Linked DNA regions of Macaca fascicularis. The protein of the gene in region 7 purifies or fractionates together with the protein of the main gene of each other region. This does not show direct contact. Links are inferred from orthologs where the notes say so. Each region holds a gene or a part of one and is shown on either strand. Other genes may lie near its edges.

Region 1 (2,819 bases), on a different chromosome or scaffold from region 7:
TGTTATTTTATGTTATGTTATGTTATTATTTTTTATTTTATTTTTTTATTTTTTGAGAGAAGGTCTTAATCTGTCACCCAGGCTGGAGAGCAGTGGTGTGATCTTGGCTCACTGCAGCCTCCGCCTCCCAGGTTCAAGTAATTCTCCTGCCTCAGCCTCCCCGAGTAGCTGGAATTACAGGCACCCGCCACCACGCCTGACTACTTTTTGTATTTTTGGTAGAGATGGGGTTTCACCATGTTGGCCAGGCTAGTCTCAAACTCTTGACCTTGTAATCCATCTGCCTCGGCCTCCCAAAGAGCTGGGATTACAGGCATGAGCCACTGCAGCCAGCCCAATTTTTGTACTTTTAGTAGAGATAGAGTTTCACCATGTTGGCCAGGCTGGTCTCAAGCTCCTGACCTCAAGTGATCTGCCCACCTCTGCCTCCCAAAGTGCTGGGATTACAAGCCTGAGCTACCGTGCCCATCCTGTTCTCTGCATTTTACAGATGAGGAATCTGAGGCACAAGGAAGTCAAATGACGGGGTCTCTGGGTCACCTTGCTAGTAAGTGGTGAGTGGGGAATGCAGGCTCTCCTGCCCCAGAGTCTGCCTCCCTGACTCACCACTGTGGGGATTTGTCCCCCATGCCCCTCTGGGAGTTGGGGTCCCTCCCCGAGCCTATGTTGTGTGCCCCTGCAGATCCTGGCAGGCAAGCCAGCTCCCCAGAAGTCACTCAGCGACCTGCTGGATGCCAGTGCAGTCTCGGCCACGTCTCGCTACATCGAAGAGCAGCAGGCCACACAGCAGGTTTTGGGGCCGGTGGGGTGGATCCAGGGAGGGGAGAGTCTTGCAGACCGATCTGAGGTCTGAGGTCCCTTTATGTTGTTGTTGTTGAGATGGAGTCTTGCTTTGTTGCCAAGGCTGGAGTGCAGTGGCGTGATCTCAGCTCGCTGCAACCTCCCAGCTTCAAGCGATTCTCCTGCCTCAGCCTCCTGAGCAGCTGGGATTACAGGCGCCCACCACAATGCCTGGCTAATTTTTATATTTTTAGGAGAGTTGGAGTTTCACCATGTTGGCCAGGCTGGTCTTGAACTCCTGGCCTCAAGTGATCCACCTGCCTCGGCCTCCCAAAGTGCTGGGATGACAGTCATGAGCCACCGCGCCTGGCCTTCTGGGGTCCTTTTCAACAGCACCTCCCACCCCTTCGCTCTGCAGCTGATCATGGACGAACAGGATCAACAGCTGGAGATGGTGTCTGGGAGCATCCAGGTTCTGAAGCACATGTCCGGCCGCGTTGGGGAAGAGCTGGACGAGCAGGGCATGTGAGGCCAGGACCCTGGGGGTGGGCCAGGGTCTCTCGGCCACCCTGGTGTGTCTGGGCCGTCTGGGGCTGATGCCATCCTGTTCTTGGCAGCATGCTGGATGCCTTCGCCCAAGAGATGGACCACACCCAGTCCCGCATGGACGGGGTCCTCAGGAAGTTGGCCAAAGTATCCCACATGACGAGTGGTGAGTCCCCTTGGGGGCGAGGTCAGTCCTAGTGGGGGCAGGTTGTAGGTGGTACCCTCTTCCCCGGTGACCTCTGATCTTCTCGTTCCCAGACCGCCGACAGTGGTGTGCCATCGCCGTGCTGGTGGGGGTGCTTCTCCTCGTTCTTATCTTACTTTTCTCTCTCTGACCCCAGCCCTCCCTGGCAGGCTGGTCCGTTAAGCCTGGGGAGCCACCAAGCACTTTGGAGCTGGCCTAGCCCCCTAGGAGGAGAGGGTTCCTCCTGGGTAGCTGGAAAGTAGAGGTTCCTGCCTGGGGAACTGTCCCCACGGCTCCCCCCCAGAGCCAGTGGTACCCTTCAGGACCCTGGGCCGAAACCACCACCACTGGTCCTGTCTCAAGTGCACTTAGGGGGTGGTAGAGGCAGCGTCACCTCAGACACACCCCTCTCCATTTCCAGTTCTGGGACCCCAAAGCCATTCGCCCCTGTGCCTTACACATGTGCCAACCTGGAAATAAAACGTCAGCCTTTTTTATACGTATTTGTGTCGTGTGGTGTGTGTTGACTGCAAAATGCATGACTGAGCCCTGATTGGGACTCCCATTCTAAGCCAGTGCTTGCACAAGTGCCCCAGTGTGTCTGTGCACGCGTGCGTGTTCCGGATTCCTTTTTTTTTTTTTTTTTTTTTGAGACAGAGTTTCACTCTTGTCACCCAGGCTGGAGTTCAGTGGTGCGATCTCTGCTAACTGCAACCTCCGCCTCTTGGTTTCCAGCAATTCTCCTGCCTCAGGCTCCCAAGTAGCTGGGATTGCAGGCATGTGCCACCACACCCAGCTAATTTTTGTATTTTTAGTAGAGATGGGGTTTCACCATGTTGGCCAGGCTGGTCTCAAACTCCCGACCTTAAGTGATTTGCCTGCCTCAGCCTCCCAAAGTGCTGGGATTACAGGCATGAGCCACCACGCCCAGGTGAATCTTTTTTTTTTAATGGCTTAGGTTCTCTTGATCTTTTTATTTTTATTTTTATTTTTGAGATGGAGTCTCGCTCTGTCACCCAGGCTGGAGTGCAATGGCGTGATCTCGGCTCACTGCAACCTCTGCCTCCTGGGTTGAAGCGGTTCTCATGCCTCAGCCTCCTGAATAGCTGGGATTACAGGAATGCTCCACCATACCCAACTAATTTTTTATTTGTAGTAGAGATGTGGTTTTGCCATGTTGGCCGGGCTGGTCTTGAACTTGAACTGACCTCAAATGATCCGCCTATCTCGGCCTCCCAAAGTGCTGGGATTACAGGCATGAGCCACTGTGCCTGGCCTGTTTTGGGTTTGTTTGTTTGAGACAGGGTCT
Region 2 (4,557 bases), about 170 Mb from region 7:
TTAGCATCACTAGTACTGGACGCTGCTTCCTTTCCCTGCATCTGTCTTCCATTGTTCGCTCCTCCAGGGATTTTGGCTTTCACCTCTCTTCTCTCCCCTCTCAAAACCCATTCAGCCCCTCATCATGTCTAGGTGTTCAGTCTTGTTTTCCTTTTGAAACATCTGTCAGATTCACTCCTTCCTCTCTGTTCTCAATCGCTGTCATCCTGGTCTGGCCCTCATCCCTTCACGCCACATGACCTTAGCAGCGTCCTTACTGGTTTTCCTGACTTCAGTAACTTAATCCTTTGGGATCTTGAGGTTTACACGCATTTTTATTTAACTATCACAACAACCCATGAACTAGCTATTATTATTTATGTTTTATAGATGAGGAGCTGAACGATAGAGCCAAGGTTTAAACGGGGTTTGTGTTGCTCCAAGGACTGTGCCATCTCCAGACTGGTGACCTTGGGCAAGTCACTTACCCTCCCAGAGTCTCAGATTTCTCATTTATAAAATGGGCATGATGGCAGTAATTATCGCACTGTAAGAGCAACCGAGATAACACTTAACACCCTGCCTGACACACACACACTAAGTGCTCAATGATTTTCAGCAATCAAAGTCCACAATCCTCATCCACAAACTCCACAGCATATCTAGCATATGAGTTGGCTAAGGTTCTGGGCAAAATGTTTTCTAGAATAGTCCTTGAACCACAGTGAGAGGAAGTTGTCATACCTGGCCCCTTCTTTATTCCTTGTAGGTGCGCTCTCCTGGGAGGCACCATATGCTGTATGAAAAATTACTTTACATGGTTATTTGCAGAATGTACAGCAACATAAAGTACACCCCATCTGGTGGAAAGTGCACAGAATCTGCAGTTCTGCTCTGTCCAGGCTGTGTGACTACAGGAAGTCGTGAAGCCTCTCTGAACTTATTTTCTCATCTACAAAATGGGAGAAATGGATGGCGTAGGGGCTCACGTCCGTAATCCCACCACTTTGGGAGGCAGAGGCAGGAGGGTCTTGTGAGCTCAGGTGTTCGAGGCCAGCCTAGGCAATATACTGAGAGCTCTATCTCTACAAAAAATTTAAAAATCAGCTGGGCGTGGTGGCTCTCACCTGTAGTCCCAGCTACTCGGGAGGCTGAGGCGAGAGGACCGCTTGAGCCCAGGAGGTCGAGGGTGCAGTGAGCTGTGATTGTGCCACTGCACTCCAGCCTGGGTGACAGAGAGAGTCCCTGCCCCCCAAAAAGGGGAAGGAGGGGAATAATACCTTCCCCCAAAGAATACTGAGATGATGCATACACAACTTTTTAGCACACTCTCCAACACAAAGTAAGACCCTACTTGAAGGAGCTGTGTAGCATCATAATCAGATACTATGCTTCATTTTAAGTCGAGGACCAGATAGATTTATAAATTACATACTGTCAAAATCAAGTATTAAAAGTAGAGGAAAGGTAAGAGGATTTTGCAAAACAGGTACAACTACAGTTTATCCTGAAAAGCCGACTGCCTACCTCTGAGGGAACAAGCCGCTCTTCACCTTCAAGCCTGAGGAGAGGGCGGTAGAAAGCCGCCCACCTCCTCCGCCCCGAGGGCTCCGCCTCCAGGGCGGAGGGACGCAGGCCCAGGCCCCGCCCACTGGGGGAGGGGCAGGCCCTGATCACGTGAGTGGGGTACGGAAGTCGTGCTTCAGGCGGCTTTCGTGATTGGCCGCAGCCGAGGGTCCTGGGGGTGGGGTCAGGCTCTCCGACTCGCCGGGAGGAGCCGGGACTGGAGGCTGCAGAGGGGGCCGGCTCTGGAGTCCGGGATTCGGCCAGTGGTGCTGAGCGAGTGCTGGACCAGCGGTGGTCCCGTGCACCTGGCCTGCGCGCGTGCCCGCTGCTTGGCGTCCCCCAGTCTAAGGCGCGGGCGGCTGCGGGAACAGGCCGGGTGGGCGGAAGGAGGCCGGGAGGCACGGGCGCTCTGTGCGCGGTGGAGGTGGAGGCGGCCGGGGCCGGGACGCCATGTCCATGGAGGACCCCTTCTTTGTGGTGAAAGGGTGAGTGTCGGCCGAGGGCTCCACTGGAGGAAGAGGTGGCGGTGCTGCCTGCCCGCACCTCCTCGGTCTTCTCGCAGTAGGGGGAGGGGAGGCAAGTTGGAGCTGGGGAGGGGTCACAGTGGAGACGGCTTAGTCTTGAGGGCCATGACCAAGCGTCCAGAGACGTCTCCTGCATCCCTACCTGGACGGTGAAGCCACTGTCCCCAGCCAAGCCCCTGGTGGTGGTGGGGCCTTTTTGGCCTGTGCGCTGCGGTACAACTTATTTGGGGGTCGAGGGGCTCAGCAGCTCTGCAGGTGAGAAGGAGACACGCAGGTCCTAGCTCACACTGGCCGTCTATTCGAGCATGGGACCTTGCTTCGAAGGAGCGAAAACAGCATCTGGGCAGGAAAAGGGAAATGGCCCTCCTGAGCTTTGTAGTTCGTGTTGACGGGGGTGAACTCCATTGTCCATTGAGTTTGGAGCGCTCGTCCGCAGGACTGGCGAGACCACAACAAGCCCAGAGGCGTCTGAGCACGTTTGCTGGGAGGGAGGCGGGGGCGGGGGCTGATCTGGGAGGCTGGGGAGCAGGGCACAGGAAGACAATTCAATGGGGGGAGTTTTTACTGAGTAATGTGAGGAGAGGAAAGCAGTCGTTCATACTCAGTGATGATTTGGAAGGAAAACAAAATGAAACAAGCCAAACCAAACTTTCCTCAGCTTTCTATTAGCAACCGGAATTTTCTCACAGTGCTAAAGGAAATGAGTGTTGCTTGTTAACTCCTTGATATCATCCAGGCTGTTTGACAGGTTTCTCCTATTTCTTCTGCCTTTCAGAATAGAACTGCCTTCTGTTCCCTTGTAAGCTGTCCTAACTCCATCTTGCTCGATTGTTTCTTTGGAGATAGAAACTTCAACTGCACTTTGTAATATCCACTTTGTAGCCATTAAACAAATGCAAGAAGATTAATTCTGATGTAACTTTTAGTTTCTTATTAGAAACGTGTCAGTTTTCTGTTTTAAATGTCAAACATGAAAAATCTGAAAACTGCAAAGTTCCCAAATCAGTACTGATCACAGAATGTCCCTTGCTTTTAACGAGTTGCTGCTAGCTTCCTATTTTTGTAGTGGTACAAGCTGGCTGTTGTATACTCAAGTATTGTAGAAAATTTAAATGGCATTTTAGGTGAAAGATTTTATCGATGATGCAGTAAAATACACTTATAATATTTCTTAACATTTCCCTGGAAAGGTCTTTTTCTTCACCTTACTCTAATTTAGATGGGAAAATGCTGAGTTGTAGATTTACTGGTAATATGTGACTTCCTACCTGGAAAATGTGATATTTATTAGAAGAATTGATTAGGGGTTAATTTTAAAAATGTGTTTTTTCCTTGATTGAAAGTTCTTAATGCTTAGGTTGGCAAAGGTTATCTCTGGCAGTGGAGATCAGAGATGATCAGAAATTTTTTGTTTGACTTTTTATGGAATTTGTCAAAAGCCTAAATTCTTCTGCCGTCGTGGCATTTTTTTTTTCTTGACGGTATCCAATACAGTCGTCTAATGCTTGTTCACTGATTAAATATCACTACTTTATTGGAACATTGGTTCGGAGTTTTGATTGACTTTTACATCATTTTAGCTCCTGTCTTTAAGGTTCTTGAAGGAAAAGAGATTCTCAGTACCTTCTACTGTGGAAAGGTAAAGTCACCCATGAAGGTGTATCCAGATTTTTTGGGAGTCATGCACCTGTGTTTATTAAAAGTATCAAGAATGCATTACACAGCATGGAAAAATTAAAGATGCCTAAATTATGGCCTAGGAGCTTCTAGTCTAATCTGAGAAACAAATTACCCCAAAATTAAGTAGAAATGACAGGTGGCAAATGAATGAGTGTTGAAGTGAATGCTGCAGATGATGAGTGCCCCAGGAGTTCAGAGAAAGGCATCTCCTTGGGAATTGTTAGGATTAGGAAAGCTTTTGGAGGCAATAAGTATATCTTGAATTACGTTTTGAAGATGGGCAGAATTTAGATAATCAAGCCTGTCTCTTTTATCTGGATGCTTATCAAAGAATCTTTTAATTGTTCTTCCTGCTTCTGGTCTCATTTCCTCTTTCAGCTGTCCTGGGATCTATTGGATCAGTGCTGTCCAATAGAAGTATAATGCCAGCCACGTACGTCATTTTACATTTTCTAGTAGCCACAGTAAAATAAAAAGGAACAGGTGAAATTAATTCTAATGTAATCTCTAGTACATTCAAAATATTCGACGTGTGATTAATACAAAGATTGATGAGATATTTTACTTTTGCACTAAGTCTTCTAAATCTAATACATATTTTACACTTACTGCACATTTAAATTTGGACATTAAATTTTCATCAGAAATAATTTATCTGTATTTAAAATTCATTAAATACTCTTTTTTTTCTTTTTTTTTTTTTTTTTTTGAGACAAGAGTCTCGTTCTGTTGCTCAGACTGGAGTGCAGTGGTGCAATCTCGGCTCACTGCAACCTCTGCCTCCCAGGTTCAAGCGATTCTTGCGCCT
Region 3 (4,295 bases), about 20 Mb from region 7:
CCGTTTTTTAGGGCAGCTAAATGCAGAAAGACCGAAACATATCTGTTGGACAGTGACAGCTTTTAGGAATGTGGAAATACTAGTCTGAATTTCTCAATCTTTTGCTGTGGTTCTCCACATACAGTGCAGAACAAAAGATGAAGGTCCTCTAGCTCAAGAATTCTACAAATAGAGATTTGCTGGGCTAATGGAGTTTGACAGTATCTACTTTGTGTGAGTCAGTGGACAGCCATTAGAGATGAATTCTACAGAGAGGCTTGCTCAGGCTGGATAACTAGTAAGTGGACAAAGCATTTTGATAAAAAATCTGATCAGAAGAACTGGTCTTGGCTTGAGCAATCTAAAGACCTAATCCTAACATTGTATTATCCTATTTTATAAAGTGGTTCTTGGGGAATACACTCAGGGAGTGGTGTTCATGTTTTAAGCATATGATTTTTTATTTTTCCTGAGCTAAATGTTATGAGCAGGTATGTGATTCTACCACAGGAAAACAAGCATGAAACCTAGAAAGTCTGACTTTTGCTTAGATCTTCCAGCACAGCAGGGAGCAAAGTTTTGTTACAATTATGATACAGTCAGAATTTGCTTTACATTCACACTTTCATGATACTTTTTCTAAACAGATTTCCAGAGTGCTCATACTTGTTTAAAATTCATATTTCCAACATTTCAGAGCAATACCTCATCTACTTGATTTTGTGTCTGCTGAAGTCTTCGATTACTGCCAGGGGCAGCAGTTGGACCTGTAGACCTGGAACATGTAAAGGCAGGAGCATGAGTAAATTATGATTCCAAATACATTTTCTTAAGTATAAAGAAGTTACTCCAGGACTCTCACTGTTAACAATTTCTTACATTAGAACTAAAGCAGAAAAAGAAATTCTTCCTGAAGCAATGAACAAAAGTTTTAATTACATTTCTTCTAATTTCTCTATAATTTCCAAGACTGTCCCACCTACTAAAGGGACAAACGTGAAGGTTTAATAGGACCTACTTTGTATCCCTGAAGTATCTGATCCCACGACAGGTAAACTCTACTGTCCTTTTTTGAAACTTGTTCTAAGGCACACATCTGCTTGAACGTACTCAGTACTCTCCTGATCTTTTCATTGTGGCAGGAACTGTTTTCATAGTTATAAACAGTTATAGAATGCCCTTTTTCCAATATAGAAAAATAGATTAATTTACAGAAACAGAGTCAGGAACACTGGGATGCAGGGAGCGGTTGGTGTGAGTGGAAAGGTGTGTTGAAGCAATGCTTCCCCTTTTAGGAAGGTACTCTTTTTTTTTTTTTTTTTTCCTCTTTTGAGAGACGGAGTTTCCCTCCTGTTGCCGAGGCTGGAGTGCAATGGTGTGATCTCGGCTCACTGCAACCTCCGCTTCCTGGGTTCAAGCAATTCTCTTGCCTCAGTCTCCCAAGTAGCTGGGATTACAGGCATGCACCACCACGCCCGGCTAATTTTGTATTTTTAGTAGAGACGGGGTTTCACCATGTTGGTCAAGCTGGTCTTGAACTCCTGACCTCAGGTGATCCATCTGCCTCGGCCTCCCAAAGTGCTGGGATTACAGGCATGAGCCAGCGCGCCCGCCCCGGGAAGGTACTCATCTTTTAAAATCTTCATCAAAGGCTTTATTTCTCCTCATGCAGATCCTTCTTAACCACTCTGACTCTGAAGTCATTATTGGCTCCATTACTTGGAAAGTATCACTTTGGTTTTTCAGGTATAAAGTCCTGCCTCCTCGAATAGATTACAGGTTCCTGGGTCTTCTTACTCTCTTCTCTGTATCCTAGATAGCACCTAGCATGTACCTTAGTATACAACAGTCTGATGGACTGTTTGAACAGTCACTTTACATCTGTCATGTGTCAATGACCAGGGCTACAACAGATCTCATCGCCGTCCTCACAGAGTTTAGTGTCTGGTAGATAAGTAAGGACCATGCCGTGGTGCTAGACTCTTTTCATGCATTTTCTCCTTCAACTCTCATAACTCTCTGAGGGGAATATTACTCCCATTTTACAGATAAGTAAAGTGAGGTTTAAAAAGTCAACACAGCTGGCTGCCGTTCAGATTGTTTTTAGATCAGGTCCTGTGTACCTGGGATCTAGATCTTAACCACTGTGATCTATTGACACAGCAGCCTCAGCAGGAACATTCGAGGGGGGGTCCCCAACTCCTGGAAGAAACCCGGGGCTTCCTCCGACGGTGAGCAATGAACAGAATGGAGGTGGAAGAGAGGGTCCTTGTGATTCTTAACCATGAACATTCTCTGAGCGTTACCACTGGAAGCACCGGTTTGCAAGGGCCACAAGAGCGCTTTCGCTTAAGAGTGCGAAGGCCCACGGTTAAGTGATCTTTCCAGTGCAGATGCCCCTAGCCAGGCAAGGAGCTCTTGGGCCCACAGGGGCTCAGCACAGGGCCGAGGTCCTTTCTTTTGCAACTTCCGGGGCCCAACTGGGCCGAGAGCCGGCCCTCCCGAACCAGGGCAGTCGTCCCCGTTCCTCTCCGGGACCTCTGGGACTAGAACGGGAAGGGGCGAGGAGCGGGGTGCGGGCGGGCAACTCACTTCCTCCGGGAAGCGCCTCGCCACCCCGCCCTCGCCCCTTCCGCGTCCGCCCCATGGCAGCGGAACCCGCCCGGGCCGTCTGCAGCCCGCGCCCCAAGGGCTACCGCCCACCCCCAGGCCTCGGGATCCCCGCGCAGCCCCGGCCTGCGTCCGAGCGGCGGCCGGCGGCAACTGGGCGGTACGGCGATCCCAGCGCGAGCTGCCGCCTGCGGGGCCCGAAGCCGCCCGCGTCGCGCAGCGTCACTCACATTTTGGCAGCGGCGGCGGCGGCGGCGGCGAGCGAGGGTCAGCAGAGCAGCGAAGTAGGGACCGGAGGCCAAGGAGATGGGCGGAACGGCGCGACTCCGGGCAAAGACGTCACTAGGCAGGGCCGGCGGGAGTGGGCGGGGCGCAGAGGGGGCGCGCCGGAAGTGGGCGGGGGCGTCGTGGGCGGGCGCGTCGTGGCGGGCTCGTCCAGGGCGGGGTCAGAGCGAGATGTCCACTCCCTGGACTAGGTCACTTGGGAACTTGAGGGCCACAGGGGTCCCAGGGCGGTCCGGGCTCTGAAACGCAGAGTGCAGGTCAATACAGCTTCCTCTCTGCACCGCGGCCCGCGCTGGCGCTTGGGGACGTGGTCTGCAAACGTGGCGCATTAGGCACTGGCTGGGGACTGTGTGGATAAGTGAGGGTGGGCGCAACTCATGTTATTCTGGGCTCGGGACCATTTCTCTCTAACAGTATTAGAGACAGATGATTGGCTTCTGCTGAATGTTCCAGATTAACCTAGTGATCCCGAGGGCACCATGTTTCTCTGAGAAAGTAGTTGAAATAGGAAGTCCATTTCAGGTATTTGTCACATGGGGTTGGGTTAGGTTCCCGCTCATGTTTTCCTCGGTAACACAAATATTTGTCCCTGCAGATCATATTATAATCTGCTTACGAGAGCCTTGGCATCAAGACTGTAGTTCCTTCATTTCTGTATTTTTAGGCCCTAACACAGAATAGGTCCTCAGGTTTTGGTCGAAGGGAGGGAAGCACAAATCTGAACGCAGTGAGTTACCTTGTATATATTTGTCACTGAAATATTCCTACCAACACAGTTACCGACATCAAAAAATAAAACACTATAGGTGTTTGGTCATTGGTGGGTCTCTTAAATGAGAAGTGAAAAATACAGTACTTAAATACTATGCTGTTTTTTCCAACTCTAAATAGAATACTTCGAAAAGGGAAACATTCGTATATATTCGAATAAACGAGACTGTCACAAAGGCGGTGGGATTTGAGCTGGGTACTAGCAGAAAAGAACTTTCCAGTAAGGGTTGGACAAACACCATGAACAAAGACAGCAGTGAAAATGGACGCAGTGTGCACAGACCACCTACAGGGTGCAGGTTGGGTACAAGTGAAAAGAAGACTGAATAAAGAGGGTAAACAAGAAAAATGTCATTTGATTGTAGTGGGCCCTGGAAACCATTGACTCACGGACTTGGGAGATCCGTGCTGCACAATTTCTCTGGCAGTAGCGGCCAGATGGATCAGATGGAAGAGGGAGCACTAGGGAGATAAGGAGAGGCTCTGCAGTGAAAGGGAATGGAGCAGCGATGACACAATACTCAGAAAGGAGGACGTTCGTCATCGCTGGAAAATGCCTTTTAGAAGACTTTCAGAGGATTGTAACTGAAAAGGTGAATTAAATTAGTGTCTATCTTTCAAATAACTGCACTGCCTTACACAAATGATTG
Region 4 (4,405 bases), on a different chromosome or scaffold from region 7:
TGAAGAGTAAGAAGAGAAGATGGCGTAGGGCAGAACCCTATGGAATGTGAACATTTCAAAAGAAAATGAAGAGCTGCCACAGAGGTGGGAGGAGAACCAGGAGGGTGTAGTGTCTTGGAAAGAGCTAAGAGAATAAAGGGGTTCAAAAAGGAGGGAATAAGGGCCTTGTGCGGTGGCTCATGCCTGTAATCCCAGTACTTTGGAAGACTGAGGCGGGTGGATCACGAGGTCAGGTGTTGGAGACCAGCCTGGCCAATATGGTGAAACCCCGTCTCTACTAAAAATATAAAAAATTAGCCGCATGTGGTGGCACGCGCCTGTAATCCCAGCTACTCAAGAGGCTGAGGCAGGAGAATCACTTGAACCCGGGAGGCAGAGCTTGCAGTGAGCCAAGATCATGGCACTGCACTCCAGCCTGGGCAACAGAGTGAGATTCTGTCTCAAAAAAAAAAAAAAAAAAAGGAATAATCAAAGTAAAATCCTACAGAGTTGAAATATGGTAATGGCTGAAAATTATCTATTTGTTTTAGCAACACTGTTGAGAATTTTGTCTGTAAAGGAGAGGTAGGAGAAAGACCACTAGCTTTTCTGTGTTTGGTGAGGGGGCATAGGGTATGGGGTTAAGAAAGGTGACTTTGGAATGTTTTAGATGAGAGAAATTTTGACAGCCTTTAAGTCCTGATAGTAAAGAGCCAGTTAGCAGAGAGCCGTCGAGGAGTCATGCAACAGCAGGGTTCATCAGAGGAGCTTGACTCTGAGTCAGCAACAGGGAATAGGGATGGAAGAGGGCTGGCTTAGATCAAAGGAGAGTAGTCGTTTATTATTATTATTATTATTATTATTATTATTATTAGTGCAAAAAGAACAGGAGAAAGGATTGGTGAGAGGTACAAGAAAATTAGAAAATTTCATGGCGAAAGTAGAGGCAGCTCCTGTCAGATGAACTCTATTTTGTCTGTGAAGAAACAGGCGACGCTGCCTACAGAGACTAAGCAGGAGAGACGGGGCCAGCTTGGTTCTTCATTTATGCCGCCCACCATTGCTGGTAGATTCTTTATCTAGCCTGCATCCTCTCATTTTCCTGGATCCCTATACGGCGTTTGACGCTGTTTACCACAAGAAATGTCGAACGAACGTGAGACACTCAGGGATACTCCAGTCGGAACTACTACTCCCAGAATGCAGTACGGCTCCTGGGAAGTGCGGGCAGCTGGGAACGCAGCAGGCCTAGCCCTGTCGCCTGCTGCCATTGGAGGAGCGCTCCCACTCCCAAGAGGCCACGCGTAGGCGGGGCGCTTCATGCGGAAGTCGGCGGCGTCCGGTCCCGGCGTCCGGTCCCAGCCTGCTCTGGGAGCTGGCAGTTGGCGACACTTCGCTGACCCGCGCCCCTCGGTCCCGAGCCCGCGCGCCCTTAGAGGGTGCCCGGACAGGTAAATGGAGTGGGGCGCGCTCTGCGGGAGGCGAGGAGAGAACTGCGGGGAGAGGGCGGAGGCGTAGACGGAAAGGTGCTGGGGTGGAGCGAGGAGGCAGTGCAAGGGTGGCTTGGGCTTCTCTGGTGTCGACAGTTTCAGTTGTCGGGCAGGACCAGTTTTGGCGTCTTATGCCACTGGAAAGGCTTCGAGTTAGAGTGTCAGAATGCGTCACTTAAGCTTTCATTACAGGAGGGAAAAAATGTTAACTTTCTCTCAGTTTGCATTCTACAAGACCTTTCTGTAGCATTTAAATCTCTTGAGATCCCCCGAGTCTTCCAAAAACTCTCTACGTCCTTGTTCCATGACGTCACTTTCTGCTTCACCTTCTACTTCTGGCTGTTTATGCTCCTTCGTGGGTTCCTAGCCCCTTATTCGCCCTTCCTCCACTGATCAGTATTGACAGTCCCCTTCTTCGTCTGTTCAGGAACTGTATTTCTGACCGACCCGTTTCCTCAGCTTCAGACCTGTTTGGTGTTTTTATTAGTGGCCAATGTTTATCAAATTCTGACCGCGTACTTTGGTAAATGCTTTACATCTCCCCCTCCCATAACTCTCACAAACAATCAACTGTCTTCATTCGGCCTCATTAATTGCTTTCAACTACCTGTATCTCCATTCTCCCTCCATTGATCCCAGAGGATACAGTCATGTTTGGCATATTAATTCCCTTTGAATACCTGTGGCTGAGAGCAGATCCATTCATATATTTAACAAATATTTATTGAACGGCTGGTATATGCTCGACACTCTTTTAAGTGCAGGGGATACAGCTGTAAATAAGACTTAAGAGGTTGCTACTCTCAGGAACTTACATGTTTGTGTCTAGAGGGGAAAACAGGAATAATCGGGATTATGTTATATATTGGTTAATGCGAAATAAAACAGGTGGTTGACTTGAAAGGGTAGAATCCTATCCTAAGAAAGTCAGAGGGATCGGACTGGGTCTCAGAGCATCGTCCAGAAAGAATAGTTGTAATACCAACAGGAATAATCTTGATCTGTAACATGACTTTTCATAAACACCTCTTCTTTTCCCCTGTCTAAGCAGTGTTTATTCTTCATTCTTCTATCTCCTCCAAGGTTGTTGCATCAGAATTCATGGTTTATCTATAGTTGGTTTATTCCTTATAAGACCCAGAGAGAAGAGTGGGGGATTGAATTACTATTAGCTCAACTGCTTTATCTTACTGAGAAAGATAGTTTGGTTGTGAAAATATTATTCTTACCAGGTCCTTCTGAATATAAAGTTATCTACCATTTATAGTATATTTAAAACCAAAATATGCTCAATGTTCACTCATTTATTCAACAAATATTTGAGGAAATATTAGATGGTAGGCACTGTGCTGAGCACTGGGAAAATAGGGTAAAATAGACACTTTGAGCTCTCTTCCAAGGATAAATAATCCTAACAGTATACTGAGGAAATTCCTAAGACATAGGCTGACACCTACATTCCTGTTCTTCATCCAAGGTGAGATCATCACAAAACATTAAGACATTTTCTGAGCAATTGTGGACATTCTGAGATTATTCACTTATTATTCTTTATCGCGTTTATTTATATGTCTTTCCCCATTGTTCTATGGCTCCCTCAAGTATTGGAATCCCTTCTTCCTTAACTTTATACCTCTAGTGTCTACTTTGACTGTCATATAGTAACCTGCCAGTACATACGTGTTGGATTGAGATAGAAAGACTCCCTATTTGATCAAATTTAAATGACATGATTTATACAAGGCCTTCTTTATGTAAGGCCATCAGCCATATTCCTCAACCTTCTCATTCACCAAAGGTGGACCATTTCATCTTATCAGGCTAACTTATGTACCTTCTTTACTTTGTTCTCACCTCTATGCTTTCTCGTTCCATCCATCCCTCCTAAAATGATCTCCTATCTCTTCCCAGGCACCTTGTGTACCTCCCTCCATTAATTTAGTGGGCCAGTTAGTTTAATAATCTGCTCATGATATAAAGGTGGAAAAAAATTAATTTCCTTTTTATATTTCCTATGAAACATTCTGCCAATGAACTCTTGCAAGAATTAACATAATAGGTCCTCCTGCAATAATATAAATAATGATACAGAATACTTTTTAAAAATTTTGCATTGCTTATCACCATGTGCTATGTAATGAGTTAATTGTACTACTTTATTTGAACAGTTGTATAACCTCTGTTCACACAGCATGTTTTGGTATCATTTGGTTTCTACTTGGTAGAAACACATCTTTTTTTGTTTGTTTTGTTTTTTGAGACGGAATCTTGCTCTGTCACCTGGACTGGAGTGCAGTGGCGCGATCTCGGCTAACAGCAACCTCCACCTCCCAGGTTCAAGCAATTCTCCTGCCTCAGCCTCCTGAATAGCTGGGATTACAGGTGCGCACCACCACGCCCAGCTAATTGTTTTTTGTATTTTTAGTAGAGATGGGGTTTCACCATTTTTGGTCAGGCTGGTCTCGCCACGCACCTCGGCCTCCCCAAGTGCTGGGATTACAGGCATGAGCCACCGTGCCTGGCCAAGAAACACATCTTTGAGTATTACTTTCTCCTTCGCCTGAGATAATTTAAGTGGTAATGTTATTCTGCCACATTGTTATTTTCAGGATGTCAGTTAAAGTCTTAAGTATTAAAATTAAAGTTTTTTGGTTTTTTTTTTTTTTTTTTTTTTTTTTTTTTTTTTTTTTTTGAGGCAGAGTTTTGCTCTTGTTGCCTAGGCTGAAGTGCAATGGCATGATCTTGGCTCACCTCAACCTCCATCTCCTGGGTTCAAGCAATTCTCCTGCCTCAGCCTCCCAAGTAGCTGGAATTACAGGCCTGCGCCACCACGCCTGGCTAATTTTGTATTTTTAGTAGAAACAGGGTTTCTCCATGTTGATCAGGCTGGTCTCGAACTCCTGACCTTGAGTGATCCACCTGCCTCGGCCTCCCAA
Region 5 (4,568 bases), about 120 Mb from region 7:
GGCATCCACTGGGGCTGCTGGCACTTGTATAGGATGGAAGCCCCTAAGAAGGGCCGGGGTTTCTGTCTGCTCTGTTCAATGAATCATGTGAAGTGCCTGCAAAAGCAGCTTTACACAGTAGGTGCTTCGTATGTGTCTGTCCAGTGAATGAGCTCCAGCCACCAATTTTCCAGGGACCTGTATGCTGGGCCCCCCTGCTAGCTCCCAGGGACCCCTGGTCTGCACGGAAATGCCCTGAGACATCATCCGGCCTCCTACAGATTGAGCTGGCACTGCCCAAACCACAGGTGGCAAAGGTGCTTTGTGGGGGAGGAGGGGGAGGTAGCAAATATGCGTGACTGCAGACTTGCCGGGACCAGGCCCAGGCTGAGTGTGGGCGTAGCACACCCTTTTAGCCCTTCCAGTAACCTCTGAGCTTGGGCCTCTTGGCACCTACCACACAGGCTGAGGCCAAGGGTTGGGGTATGTGCCCTAGGCACTGCCAGCAGCCAGCTGAGGTGCCTCTGCCTGAGCTGGGGCTCCCCTTTGAGCAGCAGGTCCAGCACCTGCAGGGGAGGGGCACCACCAGGTGGTGGGCACCAGGTGTCCTTCAGCTTCTCTCATGATGAGGGCAGCACTGAGGACCCCAGGGCAGCCCCCAATGCGAGCTGGCAGCTCAAGGTAGCACAGGTCGCAGCCCATTACCATCCAGGCTGCGTGCGTGGTCCTGCGCTCCTGAACTGTGTGTGAAGACCCTCGTGTTTCTGCAGTCAGGAGGCAGTGCACAGACACTCCCGAGAGCCCTGCTAGCCTCAGTCACTTTTTCTTAAAGCAAGCATTGAGAATCTCAGGCCGGGGCTGTTACAGGTGCAGCAAAGCAGCAAATGCTAGAAGCTCTGTGGGGGAGATAGAGCCCTCCGCAGGGCAACGGCTGAACTGCAGCTGGCATCGATGACTCCATACTCAAAGACCATGGACTCCTTTTGCCTACCTCCAGGTTGGCAAAACAAAACAAAAATGCTGACACCAGGGCCAGGTGGGTGGTGGGGCAGCCGCTGCGCAGAGTGTGGCTAGACAGCAGTTTGAAGTATCAGGCCGGATGCCCCTTTCCCAAGTATGCTGCCCTGGGATCCTGTCCAGGGTTGGGGAGGCATGTTGTCAGCACATGTGAGGGTCTTTGCAGAGTGAATCGCACCTCTGCAAGAAGCCTGAAAGGCTGCATCGCCCTGAGAACCAGCTGCCTGGAGTGCGAGGTGAGGAGCTGCAGATGTGTGGCAGTTAGGCCCTGCCCTTTGCGTGTCATCCCTATCAAGTGTGAGAAAGGACAGGCAGGCTGCAGCTAACTGGTGCTCCAGAGGAAAGGGGTCAGATAAACAATGCAGATGCTCGACCTAAGGCTACGTGTTTGCTGCACAAAGATGGATATACTTGCAAGTGTGGGGACAATGGCTGTGCACCCCACCATGCCTGGGTGAGGGCGTGCAGTGGCCGAGATTCCTTGGGGAGTGGGACCTGTGGGCCCCCACAGGAAGGCTGGAAAAGTCAGGCCCTGCTGTGTCTGCACAGACTCTAGCCTGGGAGGACACAGAGCAAGGGAGCATGATGGGGCCTATGGGTGCCTGCCCTGCCCTGAGCTTGCAATTGTGATTGGCTGGAATCCGTGGAGGCAGAGACAGGAGCCCCAAGTCAAGTCGTTGCTGGCTGTGGCGAAGCTAGGTTCTCTGCATCCAGAGGGCTGTGGCCTCCAGAGAAGGTGTCTCCCCCAGGGACCAAGACCATCCTCATGCTTGTGCCCTTCTGCCCACTGAGCCAGCAGAAGGGGCAACTCCTTGGCCAGCTACCCTGAAGCCCACATCCCAGGTGTAGGGCATCCCTGATAGCCACGTCCTACCCTTTGTTCATCCATGCTCCAGAGTGTCAGCCTCAGCCCTGTCCCCCATCCACCACTGTGGGTGGTTGTGGCAGGTAATGGTGCCAGCGTCCCACCCAACTGCAACTACCAGCTGCATCTTGGATCCCCAGGCAGACAGAAGGCAGGCCCTGGTTTCCAAGTCAGTGACTCCTTCCACTGGCATAGAAGGCTTCATTTCCAAGCCCTGGCTTCACAGGTTTCCCTCCCACCTGTCCAGGGAAGGGGAGAGGGGATGTGGGGTGGGGAAAGACATCATCCTCAGAGTTGCAGGGCTGATCCAGGAGACCCTGGCCTAGCCCAGGTGGTCAGTCATGTGGTCAATGCCAATGGCTACAACCTTGGGCCACTAGAGGAGCATGGACAGTCCTTTTCCCTAAGCCCTGGGCCTGAGCTTGGCCAAGGGTAGGGAGCAAGATGTCCAGTGTCCTGTGGTCTGTACCCCCAAACTCAGCAGCCCTGGAGGCAGGAACTCCAGGGACCTGGGCCTCTCTCTCCTGCCTGGGGGCTGACCCCAGAAGTCCCCTTCCACAGGCCCCAGTTACCCTCCCACTGCAGGCTCTGACCTACAGGAAAACAGCTGGAGCTGGGCTCCTACCCTGTTCCTCTGGGAGAGCCAGACCCTGTCCTGAAGCTAGAGGAAAATCCACGGGTAGAATCCTGCATAAGCACACCCCAAATAGACCCCACCTGGGGCCCCAGGCCCCAAACAGACCCTGCCTGGACCTCTGGCCCCGCCTAGGGAGCCGGAGGCCGGTGGATCCTGGCCTTCCTCTGTAGCCTGCCACCCCCTCCCCTGCAGGAAGGCACCAGAGTGTCCACCCCCGCGGCCCCACTCAGAGATGCGTGCCTGCTCCCATTGGAGGCCTTCGGCCCCAAGGCAGGGCCTGCCTGCTCCCTAGACCGGTCCCCTGGCCTCTGCCCCGTGTCGGGAATCGGGGTCTTGGATGTTACCTTCAAATCCGGCCAGCTTCCCGCCACAGCGAAGGAGAATCGGACGCCCCGTGCCAGGGACTTGCAGCAGGGACGTGGGCCAGGTCCTCACTGCCTTTGCTTCTGGGACCCTGTGAGGGCAGGAACCGGAGTCTTGCCCTCATGACTTTGGTTGGCGGCAGTGCCAGGTGGGAAGTTTCCGGTCGGGCACTGTGTGGGGGCGGGAGGGACAGGCGGGGAGGAGGCGGGATAGGGAGGGGAGGGGCGGGAGGGCAAGGTGGGGCGGGGATGGGAGGGGCAGGCAGGGCGGGCCGCGGGGGCCAGGATGACCCTGGGGCTTCCCTGGCTTCAGGTGCCTTCTGAGCAGAGCTGGGTCCGCTGCCCCCTGGTGGCAAGCACGGGCCCTGCAGCCCCAGCTAAGAAACCCAGTAACAAAACCCTTCCCTACCCTTGTGTCCCTGGGGTCCAGGTGTCTGAGGAAGGGGGGTTAGGGATTCCAAGTTTGAGGTGTAAATAAAAAAAATGACCACGGCAAGTCTCAATCATTTTAAGAGGTTTATTTTCCAAGGTTAAGGATGTGCCCAGAAAAGAATACAGAACCACAGGGAAAATTGTGGTCCATGGTTTTTCCAAGGAGAATCTGGGGACCTCAACATTTAAAGGGAAAAGGGTGGGTATTGGGGATTGAGGAAGAAATTTTGAAAAGGGTGTGAGTAAATAAGAGGCAAGTGGTTGCATCCTTTTGAGTCTTTGATCAGCGATTCAATGAATACACAATTTACATGTGGGGGGCGGGTAGAGAAATAGTCACTTACACATTTGTCTAGCTTGGTGAATCTGCATTTTTACATAAGATAAAATAAACATAGGGCAGAGGAAGCAATCAGATATGCATATATTTCAGGCAGAGGGATGACTTTGAGTTCTGTCCTTTGTTGCATACCTGTGAATATAAGCTATCAATGTACATTGTCAGGGTGAAATGAAACAACTGTTTTTGGGTAAAAATCTTGGGGCCCACAATTTGTGGGCAAATTGTGAGAGAGGTGCGATGCTTTTTTTTTTTTTAATCTTTGTAGCTATCTTATTTAGACACAAAATGGGAGGCAGGTTTATGTGACCCAGTTTCCAGATTGACTTTTCACTTTGGCTTATTTAGTTTAGGGTCTTGAGATTTACTTTCCTTTCATAGGGGCAAGAGGGCCCTGGGAAGATCAAGGCTAGCTTCCAGGTTCCACAGAATGGAGTCACTGAGGGTCAACTGTAGGATAAGAGAGTGTGGAAAGTAGATAAGTTCCTCTTCAGAGCTCGTCTTAGTTTAAAAATAAAATAATAGACACTAGAAATAATAGCTTCTTAGTCTAAAGCCCCCATCAACTATTAGTTCTTACACTTTAGCCCAGTTAGTTGCTTTGCCTTAAGCAAAGCATGTCCGGCATGTCCGGACAGGCCCTTGCAAGTCTTAGTTCATAGCTTATTCCCCTTCCTTATTTGGAAATGTTATTGCTTCTTTAAACCTTTCATAAGCAATTTTCTCTCCTTTGTTCTCCCTTGCACTTACCTATTTACGAAAGTTTCAGGTTGTTAGCAAATCAGGTTCAGTTTAAGATTGTGAGGTCCAGCTTCAGCCAATGGATGCAGGACACAGCAGAAAGATGACCCAAATGTGTAAGGGATAAATATGTCTGCTTTTCCTTTGTTCAAGTGTGCTCTCGTCATTGTTCCATCTGCAAGGAGCACCGTTACT
Region 6 (4,348 bases), on a different chromosome or scaffold from region 7:
TCCCGGGTTCAGGTGATTCTCCTGCCTTAGCCTCCCGAGTAGCTGGGATTTACAGGCGCCCACCACCACGCTCGGCTAATTTTTGTGATTTTAGCAGAGATGGGGGTTTCACCGTGTTGGCTAGGCTGGTCTCGAACTCCTGACTTAAAGTAATCCGCCCGCGTCGGCCTCCCAAAGTGCTGGGATAATGCTTGAGCCACCATGCCCAACCTGAAGACCGGCATTTATACCCATGGAGTGCAGGAAAGGACCTTGTAATTGTTAACAAGTGACACTTAGTGGCAGATGAGACCTAATGAAGCCAGGCCCACCTTCCACACCAGATTATAAATTCCCCCGGAGCAGAGAGTAAATGTTTTATTCACCAACATGCCCAGATCCCTCGCAATGCCTACGCTTGACAAACACCTGTTGTGAACAAGTGCACGAGGCAGCCTAGCAGCTAGAGTATTTCGAGGTCATCCTAACTGGGTTCCACTTTTGAATTTTTGTTTTTTGGGTTCGTTTGGAGACAAGGTCACCCTCCACTTGGGAGCAAAGTCTCCCAAGCTGGAGTGCAGTGGTGGGAACTCTGCAATCTCAACCTTGTGGACTCAAGTAATCCTCCTGCTTCAGCCTCCGGGGTAGCTGGGGCCAAAAGTGCGCGCCACCTTGCCCGGCTCCTATTTTGGGTTTCCGGTAGTGCTCTCGCTATTGTGACCAGGCTGGTCTCGAACTACTGGGTTCAAGCAATCCTCCCACCTCGGCCTCCCAAAGTACTGGGATTACAGACGTGAGCCACTCGCCCGGCCGAGTTCCACTTCTGAAAGCTTGGGGAGCCGCTGGGCCTTCCAGGAAAAGTGCTCCACCTCCCGACTGCAGGCAGAGCCCCCGGCCCGGCTCTTTCCAGGGCCTAAAGCTAACATTCGGTCAAAACGCGAAATGCGGAATTCGGGTCAGGGTGGCAAAGCAAAGCGCGATGACAGTGAGGACGACGTCTAGACGCAAACACACATCAAATCGGGCCGAAGCCCGCTGTCGCCTCGCGGGCTAAACCTGGCACCCCGGGCAACGCGCGACTCCGGCACCAGACGCTCTCCGAGTCAAACTACATCCCCCGGCGTGCACTGCAGCGCCCGCCCCTGGCCGGCCGGCGGGGCCCAGGAGGAAGGCGGCCGAGCTGCCCGTCCCGCAGGTCCCCTAGGGCCCTTTCTCTGCGGCCTTTCCCCACCCCGGACCGGGCACTTCTCGGGCTCTGCGACTACCATTCGCCCCGCTCGCTCCCTCAGGAGTCGCCTAGGCCGCGCAGTCTGCTGCCTTCCCGTCAGGCCTTCGCGCCGGCGCTCCCGCAATCACGGGCTAGAGAGGGTGGGCGTTCCGGCTCGGGAGGACCCTTCTGCGGCCCCGGAAGAGCCTCGTCCTGGGCAGCGGTGGTGCGGCGGTCGCCGTTATGGCCACGGGACTGGGCGGCTGACCGCCGGGCTAGGAGAGGGCCCAGAGCCCCGAATCTGGGTGGCCGCTGCTCGAGCGCGTCCTGCGCCATGGCCGCCTCCGCCGCCTCCTCGGAGCATTTCGAGAAGCTGCACGAGATCTTCCGCGGCCTCCATGAAGACCTACAAGGGGTGCCCGAGCGGCTGCTGGGGACTGCTGGGACCGGTGAGGCGCGGGTGGGCCACGCCGTGGGGAGCGCGGCCCCGCGCGCTTTGGAATTTTCCCCCACCTTCCTCCCAGACCCGGGCCCGCGTCTCCTTCCTCCGCGTCCTCAGACACGCCCCCTAGGGCTGGCTGGGTCGCAACCCCGGGTCTCCCTGCCACTGAGAGTGAATTGGGGACGCGCCCAGGGACGCGGGGTTCAGTTCCCTGGGTTCCTTCTATGGCCTTCCACATTTTCTCGTTTTTTTCCACTGCGGCAAACAGAGCAGAGGGGCTTTTACATCTGCGGTCCTGTAATGTAGCGTGGGTTTCTTTCGTAGCTGTTTTTGTTTGTTTTATGCATTTAGAAGCACTAGTCTCAAGACAGGTCTAGTTTTCACCAGACTGACAGAGGATCTGTAGCACAGAAAAAGGGTTAAAAACCCAAAAGAGTCATAATTTGGGGCGTTGGTATATACCTGTTATTGGAGGGTAGAGAGCTGGCCTTTAAAACCTTATGGTGGCGTTTAGATGTGGTCTTGTTTTGAACGTTTTTACTGCTGCGACTATTTACTACCCCTTCATTTCATGGTTCAGGTTGCTACAAGTTTTGTCTGGAGGAGCTAGAGTTTTCCGGCCCTAGATCCATAGGAAGACCTGCTATATATAGTTCTTGGCCTCCGGATATGTAGAACTTGATGGCAAGGACAAAACTTTGTTTTATTGCTTTTATTTAAGGATCAGAGCTTGAGTGTTTGCTCAACGAATTACTCAAGGTCATAGGAATTGAATGACTCTGGTGAGAATGAAATGCATGTATTTAATATATATTTATTGTGAGGCTGCTGTGTGCCAGGCACTGTTCTAGGTGCTGGTGAATATTGCAAATTACAGTGAAAAAGACATGCACGTCCCCATTCTAGTGGGTAGGTGATAAACAATATATAACTATTAAGCGGCAGTGTTAAAGAATACAGGAAAATAAGAGTAAAGGAATAGGGGATGGGACTTCAGTTTTATTTTATTATTATTATTATTATTTTTGAGACAGAGTCTTACTCTGTCATCCAGTCTGGAGTGCAGTGGTACGATCTCGGCTCACTGCAGCCTCCACTTCCCAGATTGAAGCAATTCTCCTGCCTCAGCCTCTGGAGTAACTGGGATTACAGTTGCGCCACCACCCCTGGCTAATTTTTTTTGTATTTTTAGTAGAGACGGGGTTTCACCATGTTGGCCAGGTTGGTCTCTAACTCCTGACCTCAAGCGATCCGCTTTCCTCGGGACTTCAGTTTTAAATAGGGCGGTTGTGAAAGTCCTCTGTGAGGAGATGGCATTTGAACTGAGACTTGAATGAAGAGAGGGAGTAAACCAGAAATCTGGGAGAAGTGAGTGTCAGAAGGAGGGAATAGCACTGCAAATGCCCTTAAGCGGAAATGAGCTTGGTGTGTTCAACGAAGAGCAGGAAGTTCCATGTGTTTGGGATGAAGTGAGCAAAGGAGAGAGGTAGGCAGGGCCAGATCATGTAGGGCCTTGTGGACCATGGTGAAAGACTTGTGCCTTTTTCTAAATATGATGGGATGCAGTTAAAATATATTGTGCAGAACCATTGTGGGATCTGATTTATGTGATTGAAAAGTTGACTGCAGGCAGGGCACGGTGACTCACACCTGTAATTCCAGTGCTTGGGGAAGCAGAGGCGGGCAGATCACTTGAGGTCAGGAGTTCAAGACCAGCCTGGCCAACATAGTGAAACCCTATCTCTACTAAAAATACAAAAATTAGCCAGGCATGGTGTCAGTTGCCTGTAGTCCCAGCTACTCAGGAAGCTGAGGCAGGAGAATTGCTTGAACCCAGGAGGCAGAGGTTGCAGTGAGCCGAGATCCTGCCGCTGCACTCTAGTCTGGGCAACAGAGCAAGACTCTGTCTCAGAAAAAAAAAAAAAAGGAAAAGACTGCAGGCTAGGCGTGGTGGCTCACACCTGTAATCCCAGCACTTGGGGAAGCTGAGTTAGGATTATTGCTGTATTGAATGATTTTGAGACCAGCCTGGGCAACGTGGTGAAACGCCATCTCTACAAAAAATACAAAAATTAGCCAGGCATTGTGGTGCGTTCCTGTAGTCCCAGCTCCTGGGGAGGCTGAAGTGGGAGGATCACTTGCGCCCTGGAGCTGGAGGTTGCAGTGAGCCAAGATCGCACCACTGCACTCTAACCTGGATGACAGAGCAAGACTCTGTCTAAAAAAAAAAAAAAAGTAGACTGCATTTTCAACCTGGCACTGAGTTAATTTTTGCATTGCCCATTTCTATAAGGCTAAATAATGCAAAAGAACATTGCTTGAAAAATAGAAAATTGAATTCATTATTACTATGGTTTGAATGTCCCCTCTAAAACTTATGTTGAAATTTATTTGCCATTTTAATCGTGTTAAGAGGTGGGACCCATAAGAAATGATTAGACGATGAGGGCTCCATCCTCAGGGATTGGATTGTTATCCTGAGAGTGGGTTGGTTGCTGAGAGAGTGGGTTAGTTCAGCCCTCTCCTGCTTGCCTGCTCTCTTGATCTGTTGCTCTTCCACCTTCTGCCATAGGGTGACACATGGGTAGCAAGAAGGCCCTTGAAAGAATCAGGCCCCTCAGCCTTGGGCTTCCCAGCCTCCGGAACTCTGAGAAATACATTTCTTTTCTTTATAAATTACCCAGACTCAGCTATTCTGTTATAGCAACATAAAGCTAAGA
Region 7 (4,594 bases):
AGGCGGGTGGATCACCTGAGGTCAGGAATTCAAGACCAGCCTGACCAACATGGTGAAACCCCATCTCTACTGAAAATACAAAAATTAGCCGGGCTGTGGTGGTGCATGCCTGTAATCCCAGCTACTCGGGAGGCTGAGGCAGGAGAATTGCTTGAACTCAGGAGGCAGAAATTGCAGTGAGCCAAGACTGCGCCATTCGACTCCAGCCTGGGCAACACAGCAAGACTCCATTTCAAAAATAAAATAAAATAACCAAAACAAGAGCCCCCAGATGTCATCCATCTCTTTCTAGAGAGAGGGAAAAAAATGCTCTCAAATTCTCCAACGAAAAATAGAGATAGCCACCCTTAAAAAATCCTAAGGCTGGTGGTGATCACTTGAGCCCAGGAGTTCGAGACCAGCCTGGACAACATGGCCAAACCCCATCACTACAAAAAATATAAAAATTAGCTGGGCGTGGTGGCGCACGCCTGTAGTCCCAACTACTTGGAGGCTGAGGTAGGAGGATCTCTTGAGCCCAGGAGAAGGAGGTTGCAGTGAGCGGAGATCATGCCACTGCACTCCAACCTGTGTGACAGAGCGAAACCCTGTCTCAAAAAAAATAAAATAAAATAAAGAAAAAACCCTAAGGCCATATACAGGCTCATTCACTTGGGGTCTCCTTTCACCCAGGCAAGCAGCTTTCCGTCTTTGCATTTTCCAAAGACTGCAAAGCAGGCTGGGGTGGGGTGGAGAACACAGGAAACAGCCAGTTCCCCTTCACTTCTCACCATCTTGATCTCCTCCCAAACCAAAATCCTATGTCTTTCCTTTTAACATACGCTTACAGAAATGCAGTCTTCTGTAGGAAAATTGAGGTCATGCATTCCAAAGTATTTAAGGGTATGATTTTTAAATTTTAGGAATCTAGTTCTCCAAGAAATCCCGGCTTGGGATATAGATGAACGAGCTATTTGGGAGAGATTTCGATGAGAATGAATTTTAGAGAAGTAGCGAGGTGAGGAGAGAGTCAGCTTAGCGTTTGGCTTTTGCAGTCAAACTTCAGCAAGGCGAAGTAACCTCGCTGGTCTTAATTTTCTCATCGGTAATAGGGAAAATAATAATGCTAACATTGATGAGTTACTTTACTTCAATATTTAAAAAACCGGCTCTCCGTTATCTATTCTAATGATAAAAATGTAGATAGAGCATCGTCCCTTGCTGTGAAAAATCTTATGAACAAGTGAATTGCGGTGAGGATTCACACATAATATGTGCTTAATAAACATTATTATTTTATTGTTTAGATTAGAAGAGGGGTGGAGGGAGAAATGAAAGCGGTTTGGAAACCCCAAATACTACCAAAACCCTGGGGATGGAAGTAGAGAGGAATTTCGGGTTACGATTTGGTTCCTGGTCTGAGTTTCAACGTTGAATACTCCCATATTTGGGCCTGAATTCTCAAAACAGAATAGGATGTAAGGGCTGAGATCATCTGGTACAGTTTTATGCAAATCGAAAATTCTTGCCTCTTGTCAATGTGCCCTGGCGAGAAACAACACCTCCACCCAAGCTCATCCAATCTCAGCCCCAACTAGGTGACGTCATCTCTCCGCCCCGCAACCCCCAAGCCCCGGGCAGTCCTGTCTCTAAGATACAGTCCCAGCCCCAGTCCCAGCGGCGCCTGCGCACTTTGAACAGGGGCGGGGAGGACGCGTGCGCGCTGCGTGGGGGCGGGACTAGTGCGCACGCAGCCTTAGCTTCTTCCCCGCCCTTGGTCTTCCCAGTTTCTCCGTCAGCCTGCGGGTCCCGGCTGGCGGCTGCTTCCGGTAGGAGAGTGGTGTAGGGCGAGCAGGTCTCAGCTCCTCGTCATGTCATACGGTCCCTTAGATATGTACCGGAACCTGGGGCCCTCAGGGCCCCAGCTCCGGGACTTCAGCAGCATCATCCAGACGTGCAGCGGCAACATCCAGCGGATCAGCCAAGCCAGTGAGCCGGGGTACCGAGCTGGGGGGCGGGAGCTGTCCCCGGGACAGGCCTGGGTGAGACTGCCGGGTCGCGGAGCCCGGCTGGGACTACGGCCGAGGCCACACCTGGGGCTGTCTCGGGCTGTCCACCCTGGGGGCGGTGGGCTTGCCTCCCCCAGTCTGTCAGGCCCGGGCTGCCCGAGGGTCCCCGGCCCCAGCTGAAGCTTGAGCTGCTTCTCTGGAGTTCTGCCCCCACGGTGCTGGGACCAAAACAGCCCGAGGGTGGGAAGGGGAGTGTGTGTCATCTCGAGAGCTGTGAGTGCGTTGACTTGGCGCAGTGGTCAGCCGAGTTTCTCCTGTCATCCACCTTCCTCCCCACCCACCTCGCTTTCCTCTTAGGCCAGTTTGGATGGGGTTGTTTACTGATTTAGGCTTTAGGTTTACATTCTGCTCAGCCCCTGGCTCCTCGGAAATCAGCAACTTTCAATTAAGGGAAGTGGAGAGTGCATGTGTTTGGATGACTTCATACACAGTTCTTCCTGTAATGAATTCGGAAATCAGACACAATGACTGGTATTTGAGAGGTGGGATGACTTCTGTTTTAATAAAGATAATTCACCAGCAACATTTCAACTTACATTATTTTGTCTTTTGTAACAAAGCATTGGGGTGTATTTTTGGATTTCAGGCAGATGAGGCTTTTGTTTTCCTTCCCTACTTAGCTGCTCTTGAACAAATCTGGTACACAGGGAAGCTAAGAGACTTAGCCACAACCACAGAGCAAGTAATGCATGGTAGAGTTGTTGGTGGAATTCAGAATGGTATTGCTTGTCTTAAAACTCCCTCCTCCCCATTAGGGTCTGAGTGAAACTATAGCTGAATGAGTCAAATACAGGGTGTTTCTTGGGCTTGAAAATCATCTTGGAGCCTTATAAACAGGAGATCAGCAACAGCTTTACTTGGAAAGAATGGTGGTCATCATCCTTATTGTTTATTATTGTGTTTTGTGAGCTTGGTGTACTCTGTTAATAGGTAGAACTAGTTAGTCCTGAATTACAATTCTGTATTTTAAATAATATCACTTTGCTTTAGTTTTTAAACTTTAAAAAATTTTTCTTTTTTGTAGAGATGAAGTCTTGCTGTGTTGGCCAGGCTGGTCTCAAACCCCTGGGCACAAGCACTTCTCCCACCTCAGCCTCCCAAAGTGCTGGGATTACAGGCGTGAGCCACTGTGCCCAGCCTAATTTTTTTAATTTTAAAAAATTAAATATTTTAAATTTGTTTTTAAGAGACGGAGTCTAGCTCTGTCACCCAGGCAGAGTGCAGTGATCTGAGTGAAGTAGAACGATCCTAGCTGGCTATAACTTTGAATTCCTGATCAGCTTGCTGAGTCGCGAGGACTACAAGGATGCATCTACCATGCCAGGCTAATTTTTAAATTTTTTGTAGGGATGGGGTCTCACTATGTTGCCCAGGCTCACTTTGCTTTTAAATCTAAATGTATATTGTAGAATTTGAGAAGTTTCTGATCAAAAGCAGTTGAGACTCTGGAAGTGAAAGGAAGGGTATGTGACCTCTTAAAATCCAGAACTAAAAAAAAATAATATGACCACTGGTTAGAAAGTGTAGTACTTTTTGTACCAGTTTCCTTTTGTGAAGGAGCTGTAATACAGGTTAGATCAGAAAATTCTAGTTCAAGGCTGAAATTTTCTTGTTGAAGCTAAATCTGATTTTAATATCTATTTGCAAAATATTCATTCAACTTGTATTCAATATTATATATATCATATATAATATTATATTTAATATATAATATACACATGAAGATGGATAGATGGATACATGTTGAATGAATATTATATACATGCTGATATATATATATATATATATATAAAACCAGAATACTCCCAAATGTAGATCCGACATACATTTTTAAATTTACATTTAAATTTTTGTTTTGAGACAGGGTCTCACTCTGTCACCCAGGCTGGAGTGCAGTGGCATGATCTCAGCTCACTGCAGCCTCAACTTCCCTGGCTCAAGCAGTCCTCCTGCCTCAGCCCTACAAGTAGCTGGGACTACAGGTGTGCACCACCATGCCCGGCTAATTTTTTTTTTTTTTCTTTTGAGATGGAGTCTTGCTGTGTCGCCCAGGCTGGAGTGCAGTGGCTCAATCTCCGCTCACTGCAAGCCCCGCCTCCTGGGTTCACACCATTCTCCTGCCTCAGCCTCCTGAGTAGCTGGGACTACAGGCGCCCACCACCACGCCCGGCTAATTTTTTGTTTTTTTTTTTTTTTTTTTTTTGAGACGGAGTCTCGCTCTGTCGCCCAGGCTGGAGTGCAGTGGCCGGTTCTCAGCTCACTGCATGCTCCGCCTCCCGGGTTTATGCCATTCTCTTGCCTCAGCCTCCCAAGTAGCTGGGACTACATTCTCCTGCCTCAGCCTCCCAAGTAGCTGGGAGACGGGGTTTCACCGTGTTAGCCAAGATGGTCTCGATCTCCTGACCTCGCGATCCGCCCATCTCAGCCTCCCAAAGTGCTGGGATTACAGGCTTGAGCCACCGCGCCCGGCCAATTTTTTGTATTTTTAGTGGAGACGGGGTTTCACCGTATTAGCCAGGATGGTCTCGATCTCCTGACCTCGTGAT

The links.
Region 1: the proteins of STX12 (region 7) and STX10 purify together in Homo sapiens (affinity purification with mass spectrometry; 3 studies listed by BioGRID and IntAct, counting the BioPlex papers as one, with this or other methods). This does not show direct contact. The link is inferred for Macaca fascicularis from reciprocal best matches to the Homo sapiens genes STX12 and STX10.
Region 2: the proteins of STX12 (region 7) and STX6 purify together in Homo sapiens (affinity purification with mass spectrometry; 4 studies listed by BioGRID and IntAct, counting the BioPlex papers as one, with this or other methods). This does not show direct contact. The link is inferred for Macaca fascicularis from reciprocal best matches to the Homo sapiens genes STX12 and STX6.
Region 3: the proteins of STX12 (region 7) and VAMP3 purify together in Homo sapiens (affinity purification with mass spectrometry; 3 studies listed by BioGRID and IntAct, counting the BioPlex papers as one, with this or other methods). This does not show direct contact. The link is inferred for Macaca fascicularis from reciprocal best matches to the Homo sapiens genes STX12 and VAMP3.
Region 4: the proteins of STX12 (region 7) and VAMP7 purify together in Homo sapiens (affinity purification with mass spectrometry; 3 studies listed by BioGRID and IntAct, counting the BioPlex papers as one, with this or other methods). This does not show direct contact. The link is inferred for Macaca fascicularis from reciprocal best matches to the Homo sapiens genes STX12 and VAMP7.
Region 5: the proteins of STX12 (region 7) and SNAP47 purify together in Homo sapiens (co-immunoprecipitation; 3 studies listed by BioGRID and IntAct, counting the BioPlex papers as one, with this or other methods). This does not show direct contact. The link is inferred for Macaca fascicularis from reciprocal best matches to the Homo sapiens genes STX12 and SNAP47.
Region 6: the proteins of STX12 (region 7) and VTI1B purify together in Homo sapiens (affinity purification with mass spectrometry; 3 studies listed by BioGRID and IntAct, counting the BioPlex papers as one, with this or other methods). This does not show direct contact. The link is inferred for Macaca fascicularis from reciprocal best matches to the Homo sapiens genes STX12 and VTI1B.

The regions. Positions count from the first base shown.
Region 1 is NC_088393.1:13,549,857-13,552,675, reverse strand, and holds the end of STX10 (syntaxin-10), read left to right. Parts: intron 1-682; coding exon 683-790; intron 791-1,198; coding exon 1,199-1,305; intron 1,306-1,397; coding exon 1,398-1,492; intron 1,493-1,584; coding exon 1,585-1,661; 3' UTR 1,662-2,013; downstream 2,014-2,819. UniProt on the Homo sapiens protein: SNARE involved in vesicular transport from the late endosomes to the trans-Golgi network.
Region 2 is NC_088375.1:38,510,084-38,514,640, reverse strand, and holds the start of STX6 (syntaxin-6), read left to right. Parts: upstream 1-1,740; 5' UTR 1,741-1,995; coding exon 1,996-2,030; intron 2,031-4,557. UniProt on the Homo sapiens protein: SNARE promoting movement of transport vesicles to target membranes. Targets endosomes to the trans-Golgi network, and may therefore function in retrograde trafficking.
Region 3 is NC_088375.1:227,099,163-227,103,457, forward strand, and holds the start of VAMP3 (vesicle-associated membrane protein 3), read right to left. Parts: upstream 2,910-4,295; 5' UTR 2,822-2,909; coding exon 2,820-2,821; intron 755-2,819; coding exon 685-754; intron 1-684. UniProt on the Homo sapiens protein: SNARE involved in vesicular transport from the late endosomes to the trans-Golgi network.
Region 4 is NC_088395.1:161,921,889-161,926,293, forward strand, and holds the start of VAMP7 (vesicle-associated membrane protein 7), read left to right. Parts: upstream 1-1,299; 5' UTR 1,300-1,430; intron 1,431-4,405. UniProt on the Homo sapiens protein: Involved in the targeting and/or fusion of transport vesicles to their target membrane during transport of proteins from the early endosome to the lysosome. Required for heterotypic fusion of late endosomes with lysosomes and homotypic lysosomal fusion.
Region 5 is NC_088375.1:85,661,070-85,665,637, reverse strand, and holds the start of SNAP47 (synaptosomal-associated protein 47), read right to left. Parts: upstream 3,008-4,568; 5' UTR 2,843-3,007; intron 121-2,842; exon of another isoform or gene 1-120. UniProt on the Homo sapiens protein: Plays a role in intracellular membrane fusion.
Region 6 is NC_088381.1:135,576,709-135,581,056, reverse strand, and holds the start of VTI1B (vesicle transport through interaction with t-SNAREs homolog 1B), read left to right. Parts: upstream 1-1,366; 5' UTR 1,367-1,520; coding exon 1,521-1,635; intron 1,636-4,348. UniProt on the Homo sapiens protein: V-SNARE that mediates vesicle transport pathways through interactions with t-SNAREs on the target membrane. These interactions are proposed to mediate aspects of the specificity of vesicle trafficking and to promote fusion of the lipid bilayers.
Region 7 is NC_088375.1:207,290,435-207,295,028, reverse strand, and holds the start of STX12 (syntaxin-12), read left to right. Parts: upstream 1-1,737; 5' UTR 1,738-1,850; coding exon 1,851-1,968; intron 1,969-4,594. UniProt on the Homo sapiens protein: SNARE promoting fusion of transport vesicles with target membranes. Together with SNARE STX6, promotes movement of vesicles from endosomes to the cell membrane, and may therefore function in the endocytic recycling pathway.